Linked DNA regions of Lonchura striata. The protein of the gene in region 2 purifies or fractionates together with the protein of the main gene of each other region. This does not show direct contact. Links are inferred from orthologs where the notes say so. Each region holds a gene or a part of one and is shown on either strand. Other genes may lie near its edges.

What was found.
Region 1: the proteins of SLC37A3 (region 2) and ATRAID purify together in Homo sapiens (affinity purification with mass spectrometry; 3 studies listed by BioGRID and IntAct, counting the BioPlex papers as one, with this or other methods). This does not show direct contact. The link is inferred for Lonchura striata from reciprocal best matches to the Homo sapiens genes SLC37A3 and ATRAID.

The regions. Positions count from the first base shown.
Region 1 is NC_134605.1:113,668,205-113,675,131, forward strand, and holds ATRAID (all-trans retinoic acid-induced differentiation factor), read left to right. Parts: upstream 1-3,907; 5' UTR 3,908-3,952; coding exon 3,953-4,033; intron 4,034-4,393; coding exon 4,394-4,524; intron 4,525-4,828; coding exon 4,829-4,900; intron 4,901-5,837; coding exon 5,838-5,909; intron 5,910-5,973; coding exon 5,974-6,095; intron 6,096-6,182; coding exon 6,183-6,283; intron 6,284-6,380; coding exon 6,381-6,485; 3' UTR 6,486-6,564; downstream 6,565-6,927. Other genes in the region: SLC5A6 (sodium-dependent multivitamin transporter), read right to left, coding at 1-121, 208-348, 523-677, 771-838, 916-967, 1,046-1,111, 1,298-1,627. UniProt on the Homo sapiens protein: Promotes osteoblast cell differentiation and terminal mineralization. Plays a role in inducing the cell cycle arrest via inhibiting CCND1 expression in all-trans-retinoic acid (ATRA) signal pathway.
Region 2 is NC_134607.1:15,379,858-15,387,572, reverse strand, and holds the start of SLC37A3 (sugar phosphate exchanger 3), read left to right. Parts: upstream 1-4,714; 5' UTR 4,715-4,907; intron 4,908-7,658; 5' UTR 7,659-7,715. Other genes in the region: RAB19 (ras-related protein Rab-19), read right to left, coding at 844-1,109, 2,992-3,175, 3,997-4,191. UniProt on the Homo sapiens protein: Unlike the other SLC37 members, lacks glucose-6-phosphate antiporter activity.

The DNA of each region.
Region 1 (6,927 bases), on a different chromosome or scaffold from region 2:
GGAGGCAGGGCGCCGGCTGGGCGCCAGTGGGTGCTCCAGGTTGTAGACGAACATGACGAGGCCAATGAGGCAGCTGAGGCAGAGCACAATCTGCTGGCAGGGGAACACGGCGTAGCAGGAGCTGCGGGCGCCGTGGGGCCGTCAGACACGGGCGGTGGCTGGGGGCCCATCCCGGCTGCGGGGACCCCCAGTCCCAGCCCCACTCACAGCTTGGCCTCCCGCTCGCTGCGGGCGCAGAGGTAGCGCTGCACCTGCGCCTGGTTCACCCCGTACAGCGACAGCATCATGAAGATCCCGCCCACGGACAGCGACCAGAAGGTGTGACGTTCCAGGGGGCTGGGGTCCAGGCTGTGGGGAGGACCGGGGGGGCCATGGTGACGGGTCCTCACTGGCACCCCATGCCCCGTGGGAAAGAGGATAACAGGGATGGACCACACCACCGCTCCAGGGTCCCTCTCCCCCACCCCGGGCTGCCCCAGGTGTCCCCAGAGCAGGACAGAGGTGTCCCAGGAGGTGACTCACTCAATGCCGGCGATCTTGCCCTCCTGCTCAGCCACGCGCCAGACACGGGCCATGCCCCCCACCCGCCATGCGCCCACCACGATGACGGCAACCTGCCCCGCCAGCATCACCAGCGTCTGGAACACATCTGTCCAGATGACGGCCTTCAGGCCACCCTGATGGGGACACACGGTGCCCGTCACCACAGGATGACAGTGCTCACCCTGGCACGGCAGGGGCACAGGGCACCTGTGGCAGCAGGGACTCACCAGCGTGGTGTAGAGTGTGCAGACCAGCCCCATGGTCAGCACCGCGCTCCAGAGGTCAAAGCCTGTCACTGGAAGTGGTAGAGGACGTTAATGGGGTGAGGGGCGGCAGCCCCCGGGCACAGCCCCACACCTGCCCTCATCATACCTGCGTTGAGGGCCAGCGCGGGCGCGTAGAGCACCACCCCCATGTAGATGACCTGGGGGGAGGGAGAGCAGTGCTGAGCCACGCCCAACGCCCCAAACTCCGCAGCCCCCACAGCCCTGGCTCCACTCACCATTTGGAAGATGAAGGTGATGGTGCCGAAGACCCGCACTGTCTTGTTGAAGCGCAGCTCCAGGTACTGAGAGGAGAGAGGTCAGAGCACCCGACTGCAGGGTGCTCTGTGCTCCCCGCAGTCCCCTGCCCTGCCCGTGTCCCCTCTGCCTGCCCTGTGTCCCCTCTGCCCTCCCCGTGTCCCCCCTGCTCTCCCATGTCCCCTCTGCTCTCCCCGTGTCCCCTCTGTTCCCCCCACGTCCCCTCTGCTCACCTCATAGGTGCTGGTGATGTGCAGACGGTAGAAGACAGGGATGAAGATGTGCGCCGGGATGAGCAGCCCCAGGAAATAGGAGCAGCCGAGGAACCAGTACTCGGTGCCAAAGCGAAAGATCTCAGCTGGCACGCCCAGGATGGCCACAGCTGACTGGAAGGAGGCCAGCAGGGACAGGGCGACGGGCAGGCAGCCCATGTCACGGTTGGCTAGCAGGAACTCCTGCACCGTGCGCTGCCGGTCGCCGCTCAGGGCGTAGAACAGCCCGATGGCCGAGGACAGCACCAGCAGCAGCGCGAAGATGCTGTAGTCGATGGCCGTGAACTCCATGGTGAGCGCGTCCCTGCGCCGCCCTGCCGCTGCCAGCGCTGCCCAGCCGCCCCCGCCCCGCCGGCCTCATGGGCGCACCTGAGCCCGGCAGCGCGTCTGACCGGCACCGGCCAGGCCCTGGCAGCTGCGGGAGGGACGTGTCAGTGCTGCAGGGAACTTCGCTCACTCTGTCTCAACCTCAAGGACCCAGAGTGGGGAAAGCGGCCAGTCCCTCCTCCTCCTCCTCCTCCCTCTGGGCCGGGCTTGGCCCCCCCTGGGCCACCCCACCTGCCCCGCTGAAGGAAACTGGAGAGTCTTCAAAGAGCGCCAAGACAATGGCTGCAAAAACAGTCCCACCCTGGCCCCCCGCAGCACCGGCACCACCAGTCCCGGCAGAACTGGCCAAGCTCAACACAGCTGCCTCCGGTGCAGGACAACCCCAGTCCCACCTGAGCCAAACCCAACACAACCACCCCCGGAGCTGAACAGCCTTCAGCCCGCAGTGCTACTCCCACCTGAGCCAAACCCAACCTGGCCCAACCACCCCAGCATTGCACAGCCCCACCAAACCCGGCAGCACCGGTCCCACCAGCACCAAAGGCAACGCAGCCCAACCCCTCCAGCAGCCCACGGCCCTGCCAGAACTGCCCCCGGTGCACAGGAAGGGACAAAGGGGAGCTGGCAGCCTCAGGGTTCTGGGCACCAGCCAGGTGGAGCAGACACCTGAGCATCCACCGTCTCTGGCACCCTCACCCCACTGAGGGGATTGCCCAGAGCGCCCCGTGCTCTGCCCCTGCTCTGGCTCCTGTGGAACAGGAGGGGACAGACTGCTGCCCCTGCCTGCCCGCACACCCAGAGGACTGTGACTGCGGGCACCTGGGAGCAGCAGGTGCCACAGGGCTGTGGATACCCCTCTTTCAGGCCTGGGAGGGGGTGCAGGCTGCAGGGGACCCTCTGTTCCAGCAGGGCAGCGTTAGGGACACAGGGAGGACAAGTCTGGAGTGGGGGTGGCAGCCAGGGAGTGGCACAGTGCCCACCATGATCCCATCATGATCCCTGGAGGAATGCTTGCCTGGGAATGCTTGGTGGAATTAGGCTGAGCCCCTCCTGGCACCCCTGGCACAGCCTGCCTGGGCCTGCCTGCCACAGGGCCGGGGGCAGCTGAGCTGGCACGCGGTTCTGCAGCAGCGGCAGCGCCAGCAGCGTCTGGGTGGGGAATGGGGTGAGAGGGCAGTGTCTCGGCCGCTACCAGCCCTGGCCTGTCCCTGACCAGGACAGGCTCCACGTGCAGCAGCTCATGGCCAGGGTCCAAGGTCACTCCCCACATTCCCCCACGCAGACTAAACATGGGAGGTCACACCGCGTCCCCAGCGGGCACACCACAGCCCCAGCCTCCCAGACGGCCCTGGCCCAAGGCTCCCATGCCCCACAGACCCCTCGGCGCCCCCGAGGCTCTGCTGCCTCCAGCGCTGCTGTCCCCGCACCCCCATCACCTGCCGGTCACAAGCCCTGCTGGCCCGGTCACCCACGGAGGGCCTGCTGCCCCCTCGCCCAGACGGTCCCGGAATGTGCCCCACAGGACGCGGCGGTGCCAGCCCGAGGCTCGGCTCTCGCAGCCCTGGGTGTCCCGCGTCCCCGCGGGTGAGCCCGCTGCCCGTCCTGCCGCGCCCAGCCAGCCTCCCGCGGTGCCCCGCTCCTCACGCTCCATCTCGCCCTTCCTTGTCACCCGGTGACCGCGGGGACGCCGCTCCGGCCGCCGCTGCCCAGCGCTGTGCCCGGAGCCCTCATCCCGGGGCTCTCAGCGGCTCTACTCGCCATCCCCGGCGTCCGCGGTGTCCCTAACACAGGGCTCTGCTCCCCGTCCCCGACGTCCGCATCCCGGGGTTCTGCTCCCCGTCCCCACTGTCGCCAGAGCCCCCATCCCGGGAGCCGGCCCCCCGGCCCCCGCTGCCCGCAGAGCGCCCGGTGCCGGTGGCGGGCGGCGGCGGTGACCTTGCCCCGGCGGCCCCGGTGCAACACTCACCGGCGGCGGCAGCACTGGCCCCATGTGCCGCCGCAGCCGGGGCGCGCCGGGATGACGCCGCGGGCAGGCGGGGCCGCTCCCGCCGCCGCTTCCGCACGGCCGCCGCCGACGGCGTCAGCGCGGGCCCCGCGTGGGGCTCCCGGCCCGATCCCCGGCCCGATCCCCGCCCCATCCCGGCCCTCGGGCGGTCACCGCGCCCCGGTGCCCCCGCTGCGGGGGCCCCTCCGCGGTTTGGGTCCAGAGGGCGCCCGGGCCGGGCCGGGGTGGGGAGAACGGGCACGGAGCTGCCGCCGCCGCTCGGGGCTCCCCGCCGTGGCGCGGGGATGCTCGGGGCCGGCGGGGCCGTGGGCGCGTTCGCGCTGCTGCTGCCGCTGCTGCTGCCCCGGGCCGCCCGCGGGGCCGCGGTGAGCAACGGGGACCGGGGTCGGGGTCACGGAAACGAAGGGAGGGCAGGAAACTGGGGGGCTCCGGTGGGTACGGGATGCCACGGAGGTCAGGGAGTGCCCGGAACGGGGTTGGGGGGTCAGGGGGCGGTGAGTCCCCGGTCGGGGATGTCGTGAGGTCGGGGGTGCCCGGCTTGGAGGTGCCCGGGCGTCAGGGAAGCCGTGGGTTTCCCCGAGGCCGAGGAGGTTGTCCTTTAACGGGGAGCGGCGGTACCCGGGGCTCAGGTCAGCCCGGGGGTCGGGGACAGCCGGGGGTCGCGGGGGGCGGGAGATGGGGGTGCCCCTGTGCCGGCGCTGCCCATGGCCCTCCGACCTCCCCAGGTGTGCGGGCTCTGCCCGGGGCCGCCGCGGAACGGCTCCATCGTGGCCCGGTTCTGTCAGTCCCGGCACGACACCGAGAGCGACGGGCGCTGCTGCCGGGAGAGGGGCCCGACCCCAGGGCAGCTTCTGGGGTACGGGGGGCCCGGGGGAGAACGGGGATGCACAGGCTGGGGGTGAATCTGGGGTGCTGGGGGTCGGGGGCCATGTGATAGGGGTGCTCGGGGGATGGAGGGTGCCAGGATGGGTTTTTGGGTTCACAGGGGTGTCAGAGGAATGGCGGGGCTGGGGAATGCCTGGATGGAGCATCCTGGGTGGTGTTGGGGGGGAACCAGGTACAGACCAGGGCTGAGATGGGTGCTGGGGGTCACAAGAGCATCAGGGGAAAGTGTGGGGGACACACATGCTACTGTGTCCCCAACCACTGCTCCTTCCCAGGCTGGACCTGAGCAACTGCTCCCTGCACAGTGTTCCCCCGGGACTGGCCGAGGCCACCACTGCCATGGTCCTGTGAGTTCCCCTGGGCTCCCTCTGGCCCCTGCAAGGAGCTGGGGTGGGCTGGGAGAGTGGGTTGGGGCAGGTTTGGTGGGACATTCCCATGGGCCCAGGCCAGCACAGCCATACCCTGCTGGTCCCAGGGGCAGCGGCCACTCCCTGCCCTCGTGGCTGTCAGTCCACAGGGCCTGACCAAACAGAAACCACCCCTGTTTTCAAACAGGGAGCCCTGGGACCTGTCTGTGCCAGCAGCCTCACCCCTGTACCCAGCAGGAACATGGGACAAATCCTTCTGGAGCTCTGTCATGGTGCACATTGTCACAGGACAGCCCTCCAGTGGGGGCCCGTGCTGGCACGTGAGAGATGAGCCACATGGTCACATCTTGGCTTTTGGCACAGTCCTCATCCCCAGGCTGGAGAGACAGGAGCCAGGGAGGTGCCACGTCCAGGGCACTGGCAGGGCTCAGAGCTCAGTGTCCAAATGTAGCCCAGTGAGCCATGGTGGCCCTCAGGGCACCGTGACACCTCAGCTTGTCAGTGTTTTTGTTAATGACCAAGCGGTCCCTCACTGTGACACCTCAGCTCATCAGCGTTTCTGTTAATGACCAAGCGGTCCCTCACCGTGGCACCTCAGCTCATCAGCGTTTCTGTTAATGACCAAGCGGTCCCTCACCGTGACACCTCAGCTCATCAGTGTTTCTGTTAATGACCAAGCGGTCCCTCACCGTGACACCTCAGCTCATCAGTGTTTTTGTTAATGACCAAGCGGTCCCTCAGCAGCTCCGCAGAGACCTTTGAGCCCCAGCTGTAGGGCTGCACTGCCAGGGCCTCGGGTGGGCAGGGGGGGTTGTGGGTGCTTGCAAACCGCCTGAGCTCAGTGAGGCGCTGGGGGTACCCCGGTGCTCGCCAGGCCAGGGGTGCCGGATGGGACTAAAGTTCCGTGTGCTCGCAGGGACCTGACTGAGAACCCGCTGACAGCTCTCCCCAGTGGTTCCTTCCTGGGCTTCATCCGCCTGCAGAGCCTGTGAGTGCTGGGGGGAGTCAGGGGCTGGGGTCACTGCGGTGCTGGTGCTGAGCTCTGCCCCCAGCGCGGTGCCGCTGACGCTGCAGTGCCCAGGCGGGAGTGATGCCTGGCAGAACGTGACGGTGGACAGGAGCAGCCGGCTGTGCCAGGGACAGAGGAACCCCTGCAACAGCTCTGTGGAACTCGGTATGGTGGGGGACTGTGGCCCTGGCAGGGGTGCATGGGGCTGGCAGGGGCTGGCCTGGCCCCTGACCCCCTTCTCTGCTCTGCCAGCCTGGCTATGTCCTGAAAACTCAGTGTGTGCCCCTGACGGCCCCGGCCTCGTCCAGTGCCTCTGTGAGAGTCCCTTCCATGGCTACAAGTGCCTGCGTGAGGTGAGTGCCGGCAGGACTGAGCCTGTCTCTGGCTGGGCCCTGGCCGGAGTAGCAGGGACTGCAGGGAGCGGTGATGCTCACTCCTGGTCCCGGGCAGGGCCCATTCCCGATGCTTCTCTTTGGAGGAATCCTGGGCACTGTCACCGTGTCCCTGTCCCTGCTGCTGTGGGGCACCCAGCGAAGGAAGGCCAAGAGCCCCTGAGCAGGGCAGGGGGCTGTGCTTGGGCTGGAAGCTCTGCGGCCAGGAAGGCTCTCAGGATCAATAAAGCTGCAGGTCCTCAGTGTGTGTCTGTGTGGTTCCTTCCCAGGGAAAGGCTGGGTGTGTGGTGGAACCCACAGGAGGGGGGCATACAAATTCCCACTGTAACAGATACATGTCATAACATCGGTTTTTCGCAAATATTAAAATGGATTTATATATGTAGTGTTAAAGTAACTTTGCTAAAAAGATGTAGTTTTAACTTACGTTCTTAGTTAAGCTTAGACATGGTAGGGAAATAGCTGATATCAGTGTGCTTGTGTTAAAATGCCTGCTTGGATGGGATAACATCCAGTGAACACAGGATATGAGAACACCCATTACAGATCTGCCAACGATCAGCACTCACTGTCTGAAGGCAGTGTGGACCAAACTGGAAGTGATA
Region 2 (7,715 bases):
GCTTGCATCCATCCTTAAAACTCCCTTGAAAACCTACAGGGATACTCTCAAGCTGCCACTGGCCCATCACACAAGCTACAAACGGCTTTTGGTTAAAATCAGCACATCAAAAGCAAGATGAGTTTAGCAGGGAGGAATGAAAATAAGGTTCTTTCACTGGAAGCTTTTCTGCTCCCAGCAAGTCCATGTAGCAGGATGGAGATCAGTACTGGAAGCAATCCTGTCTATTACAAAGCAAGTGAAAGGCAGCTTTTCTCACCCCAGGAAGAAGTGTATTCTGCCTGCTACACCACCCCAAAGATGTCTCCATGTTTATCTGATGAGGAACTCAGGGTAGATGTGAAATCCTCTACTCTTTCACAAATGTTATTAAGCTCCTTGGGATGGGTGGCTACCTGCCTGACCTCAGGAGAGCTCCTAAATGAAAGTTTAGGCAGGAGCAGGTTAGTGCTGTTCAAGCATATATCAGACTTTTTACAGCTGCTGGCAGAAAGTGCTTAAAACCAGCAACACAGCTTAGAAGGGTCAGTGCAGAACTCTGGTGCAAATTTATCTTCTGACACAGCCAGAAAGACATGTAAGGAAATAATTAAAGGCAATAACTTTTGCAGTTCTCTTTGGTTAGGACAAGGGTTGGCAGCTTCCTGAGTCCTCTCTTGTCAAAGCAACCTGTGCTACCAACAGCAACAATGATCACTGAAAATACTCACAAGCCAAACTGCAAGGCAGAAATATCAAGAGAGATGGCTTGAGGCCACATAAAACACTTTCATCAACTGAACAAAACTGAATCAAACAGCCTCAGAAGAATGGTAATTTCCAAGTTCTCCTTAAAGTCTCTCTTCAACAGGAACACTGGGTCTTCTCCACACTTGGACTGGCAATCACTGGCCTGGAGTCAAGACTGAAGCTGTTTGGAGGGCTCTCCCCATGAAGCTGTAAGGTATTTCGGGCTATCAGCTCCTTAGCCATTAATGTGAACACCTCTTCTATGTTTTGAGCTTCTTTTGCTGATGTTTCCAGCACAGCTAAGAGCCCGTGCTTCTCTGCCAGGGTGCAGGCATCTTCAAACAGCACTTGGCGCTTGTCCAGCGAATCCGATTTGTTCCCTTAAAAGAAAGCAAAGAGATACTTCAACCACTTAGTCTTTCAAAAATTTATTTTTAAATGCAATGCAGGAATTCAATTTTGTTAAACAATAGTTTTATGTTAGCGGTAAGAGTTACTGGATAGAACAAGCTGTGAGTACATCAGAGCCACAGATACAGACTGCCTTAAAACTGCAGCAAATCATATGACAGCAAAAGAGATGAAATCCAAGAAAAAACTAACAACCTGTGTTCATCTGTTTACTTAGTGTAGGTGAAAGATTATTTGGAAGCAAGTGTTGGTCCTGTTCCCTTGTGGTTTTAAATGTTAAGTAGCCTTTAAGTTGAGGGCTTGTGTCCCACTAAACCCACCATCATACTGTTGTGTTCCTGCTGACCTTCTTCAGGTAAGTTGAATTTTGAAAAAAAAAAAAAAACCTTTTAGGGTGATGTAACAAGAAAGACAAAAATTCAGGTCAGCTGTCTTAATGCCTGAAATATATGCTTGTTTCTGCATGTATAGATTAAACTTTTACTTGCAGCACTTTAGTGAAAATCTATAATTAAACACCTCAGTTAAAACACCTTTGTATATTTAGGCAGTTGCAGCACATGTGGATTTATCAGTTTGAGGGCTATTTGCCTCCTTAAAAGGAACACACCCACCTTTTCCTCCTTCAGTTCCAGATAGGAAAGTTAGGTTTCCTAACCTTAACCTCCTGCTAGAAAGGTGTATAACATGACTAAGCATATTTAAATGTACAACGGCTTCTCCCAATGTAAGTAAAGCAAACAGCACCAGATCCGGAAGAAAACATCTAGCTGGATCCTTAGTAAAACCTTCACTTTTTACTGATTTCAGAACTTCTCTCTCTAAAAAAACAACCACCACCATCCCCCACCACACACAGATAAGTCTCTTTCTTTAGATTCATGATAGAAGTTAGAAAAAACCAGACAAAGTGCAGTGATTTACACCTCCCCTGCCCCAGTTCCAAGCACTGCATTAGGAGCAGGTCAGGATTTATCGTTTGCTTCTTCCAGAGGAAGGCCAGGAGAATTCTCGGCAGCACAAGCACGGAGGGTGCTGGGAGCAGAGGCAGCAGCTCAGGGGCCCTGCCTGGGGCCCAGCCCTGCCCCGGCTGCTGAGCTGCTCGCAGCACACTGCAACAGGTTCAGCCACGCCAATGGAAATAAAGGCAAGAAAGGCTCTGGCGTTTCACTGCAACAGTGCCCTCGTTTGCAGCTTCTTCCTTGGGGGAAGGAAGAGCAATAATAACCATGAAACCCAAGAGAAAGGAACCGTGGCTTCCTACCAGCTCCATTCCCGGCAATTCCCAGCCACTGCTTTCCTCAAAGAGGCAGTTTCCTGAGCGCTATTGGAATGCAAGCAGGCTACTCCAGGCTCTGCAAAAGCCATCTCCCCATCTATTGTCTTACCTGCGCGGAATCCCATTACAGAGCAGTGCGCATGCATATCAAGAGAGCAGAGAGGAAAGATGAGAACCACAGGAGTCTGTGCATCCCCCTTCACCTTGAATTATTGAGCTGCTACATTCCTCTGCAGCAGCCTACAGAGCCAGGCTTACTGCAGTTCTAACTCAACAAGGTGGTCCCTGCCTCCAGCCTGGCAGCAAAGCTTGTTGTGTTATTCCAGCAGGAAAGGAATAATGTAAAAGGGTTTTGCTGTCTGCAATGGGTTTTGGTCCTGTCAGGACCAGGCTATGACTTTCCTCATTTTTTTAAGCTTAGGTTGAATTGACACACTTGGTGATCTATTTTAATTAGAACTGAATTTTTGCATAGTATATAGATGCTTCAAGTAGTAGTGGTAGGAAACGAGGGAGATTTTATGTCCGTATTAAAAATCTACATAATACAATATTTAAAACTAAAATCCTACCAATTAACATCATGACCAAGTTTGCAGCACCATACTTTTCAATTTCATGAATCCAGTGAGGAATGGATTCAAATGTGGACCTCCTAGTAAGGTCATAGGCAAGGATGGCCCCATGGGCACTCCTGTAATAAGACTGGGTTATTGTCCGGAAGCGCTCTTGACCGGCTGTGTCCCACACTTGGATCTGTAAGAGAAAGGATGGAAGTTGTAAAGACCAGCGAACACCACTTTCCTAGGTGCTTGCCCTCAGCATTTGAAGCCTCTTGTCCAGAAGGCAGCCAGACCTGTCCCAGCTCACTCTACCAGACCAGTGTGGCTTTGCCCTCCCTAGATCCAAAAAGCCATTTACAAGCCTGAAGAGTCAATCTACACAGACCAAAGAGAAAGCTCTAAGGGTGAACCCAGCTTTGCAAAGAGGCCAAGAAACCCATTTTCAACAACTGTAGTAAAAGATACAGAACGTTACAGCCTGTTAATAGCAAAATAAGAGTAAAGAACCCTAATACAGGACTGGGCAGAGCAAATCTATACATAAAAGCCAGGCAATCCTAACTTTCATCTGCACACAGAGGGAAGTTCTAGCTGATAATTTCTTCTGGTGTTTGTCTTGGAAGTCTTCCCTCAAATTAAGCCCACATCAAAGTGGAGCCTTTGCAAACTTTGGGGGTTTTCCCTTCTTGGTGTCCCAGCTCAAACTGCCACATCTCTGGAGGGAAGAGACATCCCCTCCAAACTATAGCCGGCTTCCAAAGAACTCCCTGCAGGCAAAGCACAAGCCCTCTCCGCAGGTGATGCAGAGAAGTCACGAGAAGAAGTATGTACCCAAATCAGGGTGCCTGCTTCCCCCAGGATATCCTCCTGAGAGAAAGCTCCACTGGGAAGCACCCGTGGTTAGAAGGGCAGCCAGCTGCCCTCGGCAGGGCCGAGCAGGAGGTGCTGTGCGTCCTGGCACCTGCACAGGAAGGTGCTGCTCGCCAGGACGCTCGGGCTCGCTCCCTCACCGACCTTCACTCTCTTGCCGTCGATGTCCATGGAGCGCACGGTGAAGTCGACGCCGATGGTGTTCTGCTGCTTCTCGCTGTACTGCCCCGTCTTGAAGCGGTGCACCACGCACGTCTTCCCCACGTTGGAGTCGCCGATCAGGATGATCTTGAAGAGGTAGTCGAAGGCATCGTCCGCGCCCGTGCTGGTGAAGGGCATCGCGGCTGCCGGGCGGGCCTGCGGCCGGGCTGGGGAGGAGGATGAGGAGGAGGAGCCGCAGGCGCGGGGAAGGAGCCGCGTCCCAGACGCTCACCTGCCGGGACAGGTGGCGCCGCGCTGCCCCGCCCTGCCGCAGGGCCGCCGGGAGCTGTAGTCCGCCCTCTCCCCTCCCCTCCCCGCGCAGGGCCCCGGCGGCGGCGGCCGGACTACAGCTCCCGCCGTTCCGCGGGGCCGCCCGGAAGGGCCGCTGCTGCCGCCCGGAAGGGCCGCTGCTGCCGCCGGCTTCCTCCGGCCGCGCCGGGCGCCGCGGGGCTGGGCACGGCCGCGGAGCAGCGGAGCCGGGCCGGGCCCTGCGCTGCGCTGCCCGACCTTGCGCTGCCCTGCCCGGCCCTGCGCTGCCCTGCGCTGCCCGACCTTGCTTTGCCCGGCCCTGCCCTGCGCTGCCCGCTCGGCTCCGCTCCCGCCCCGCCCCGCCGAGGACGTGGCCCAGCGCCCGGAGGGAGCCGCGTCCTCCTCCTCGCCCCCTGCTCGGGCTGGGCGGCCGTGCCCGCGGCGGGAGCGCGGCCCGGGCCTCCCCGGCAGCCCGGAGCGTTCCCGGAGCGTTCCCGGAGCGTTCGGGTGCTCGGGGCAGCCGCTCGTCGTTCTTCCCGGAAAGCATCCGGCGGCGCACCCGCGGTGGCGCACGGTCTGCTTGTGCTGGCTGCCGAGGGTCCTCGGTGGGTTTGCGTTGTGCCGCTGTTCTCTCGGTTCGGAAAAATGGCATAGGGGTCTCTGGGGGGTGGACTGCGCCCCAGTCGGTTTGGGGTTGTTGGGGGTTTGGGTTGGGGTTTGATGGGGTTTTCTTTGATTTGTTTAAATTGCTGTTATTTTGAAGAAATAATAGTTTCGTTTGTTTTGCACTTTGGAATGTTAAGGCTGCCGGCTTTGGAGGGCAGTAGGGTAGCATTAAGGGTGTTTGTTTTGAACTTAAGGTGTCTTATTTTGCCTTTAAGTGAAAGGATAAGGAGAACTTAACAAATAAGGGTGAAAGCCTATCAAAAGCTTACTCAGAATACCAGCTGGCTGTAGGTAAATGGTGGTCAATAATTAGATGAGGCAGTCTAACATACTAAAAGCACTCCTTTTCCTTTCATAAAGACCTGTGCTTCACTGTCTTCAATTCTGTGGGTCATCCTTCTGACGAGCTTTTGCTCTTCCTCCACCACAAAGTTACTGTGGTGTTCTCACAATAATTAGAAGACTAACTTTTTTTCTGTGTCAGAAAGTATTCTAGAAAGAAGACCTGAGATTGAGAAGCTCTGGGGAACAGATTATTTCAATAGTAAATGCTTTTAAAAAAACAAAAAAAAACCCAAAAAAAAAACCAGGTGACTTTAAGGTCAAACCAGGTCTTAGCTTTAAAAGGACTCGGTATCTTGGACAAATAAGATCTGTATTTGCATATGTTGACATGAAGCAAGTAGTAAATCTTGTGCTTTGGGCTGCGGACTGATTACCCAAGGAAGGAACTTTTCCCCACAGCATTGCACAACTGGCAGTGTTTTGCTTTCCTCAGGACAGCTCTGTTATCTGCCTGGTGGGAGGGGAGGGAGAGCCAAGGAATCTCTTGTTTGACCAGCAGACTGGCTCACAGGCCTGTGAGGATCATGGAGCTGGGAAACTGGAGTGCCTTGGCTTCCCTTCTCAGTGCAGCTTGCATGGGGGACAGCCCTGAGCTGTATGGTTACTGCTGCACTGTGTGCTTCTTGTGTGGGTGCTGAGTCTTCCTTCACTGGTGCTGAGAAATGGTCTGGGACCTCAGGTGAAGGTGGTATCAAGACTGCTTGCAAAGTTGCCTTTTCAGGGCTAGTCTTGCCTTTTCACAGCTCCAGTTGTAGGCACTTTTTTCTCCTCTGTGTGAACCCAAGCAGTCTAGACACATGTCCTTACAAAGAGGCGCTGTGTGCCAGCTGGAGCAGTGGCAGTGTGGCTCAAGAGCTCCTGGGCTGTGTAGAGACAGATGGTGTCAGGTCTTGTACAGCCTCACTGCATTTGCCCTGGATGAGAATGGAGGTGTTCAGGTGTGACGTACGATAAATGTGACTCCAGTGTCTCAAAGCTGTCATAGCTGGGTCTGTGTTACTCAGAGAATGTCCATGCCACACTGTTTTTGGAGGTCAGATGTGTTGTCAGTTTCCACAATTGTTTGCATATCCAGCAGTAGCTGGATATTGCTGTTGGTCAGGCATGTCTCATCACTGAGAGAACAGGGGAGACTGCTTGCAGTGAAAGGTGTCTTGATGAAAGCTTTAAAAGGAGGAATAAAAAGTCTGTGTGAAATAAAGAGTTTCCAGCAGCAGAAATTTGGGTGAGAGACTGGACAATGACTTACTTTCTTCAGGTGAGGTTATGAAACTGAACTTGAAAAGACTTCTGTCAGATGTGCAAATAATTACAAGCAGCACCTGTGGATACAAAAGGACACACAGGCATCATATTCTATCTTATTTCAGTACTGATCTTTTGGGGGAACAGAGGTAGTGCTTTATTTTACCTCTGCTCAGCATTCAGAATGTTTGCAGTGTTGGCATGTCCTCTGAAATGTGTGGTGAGAGATTCATCCCCACACTGCCCAGTGGGGCCGTTTCCCAAAATCTGTTAGCAAACATCATCCCTCGGCCATGCTAGCTCAGCTGGGGCATTGGAATGGTGTGGCATGGAGCAGCATGAGGAAACTGTATGTCTGCGATGGCCTTCCCTCAGTATTGATAGTTTCTGGTTGTCTCAAGGTTGAGGCAGGTGTCACCCATGCCCTACAGGTAGGGACAGGAAAGTGTGACTTGTGTGCTGTACTAATGAGTTGGGGACTGATGGAACTGTAATGTCAGGCTTGAGAATAAACAGGAAAGGATTCCAGCTGTTGGATTTCAGCACTGTCCTCACAGCTACTTCCCTTTTTCCATCTAAGCAAGTCCACTCTTGGGTATATTCCTTCAACAACATCTTAGTGAGGCAGTCAGATCTCAAACCCTTCTCCAGCCATAGCCAAATTCTGCTCTTGTGGCTTCATCACCTGTCTGTGTCCAGCCAGGTAGCAGCAGAAAGCTCTTATTTGTGGTCACGCTCTAGTTACCATGTGTGTAAATGGTGCACAATGGTCTTTAATGGGAGATTGCTGGAAATTGGTAGATCCAGGGGATACTCCTTTGGTCCTGGGCACTGAAGAGGCATCTGCTAGGAGAGAACCAAAAACAAAGTGCCGCGGGGGTACTGGGAGAATAGGAATAACAAGATACCTTAAGCCATAGAAGTTACTGAGGAATGTACAAGTGATGAATGCGTGGTGGTGTGAAACAAGTTGGAAAGGCATGGCATGGAGTTCTTCCATCTGGATTCGAGCTGTCTGGGGAACAGAGCTGTACTTCATACATGTGTTTTAATTCAAATTGGTTTTCTTTTCTTCTCCCTTCCCATCTTCTTCTGTTTAGGGGGGCAGAAGAATGACTTAATCACCATCCAGCCCTTGTGGCCAAATCAGGAGCAGG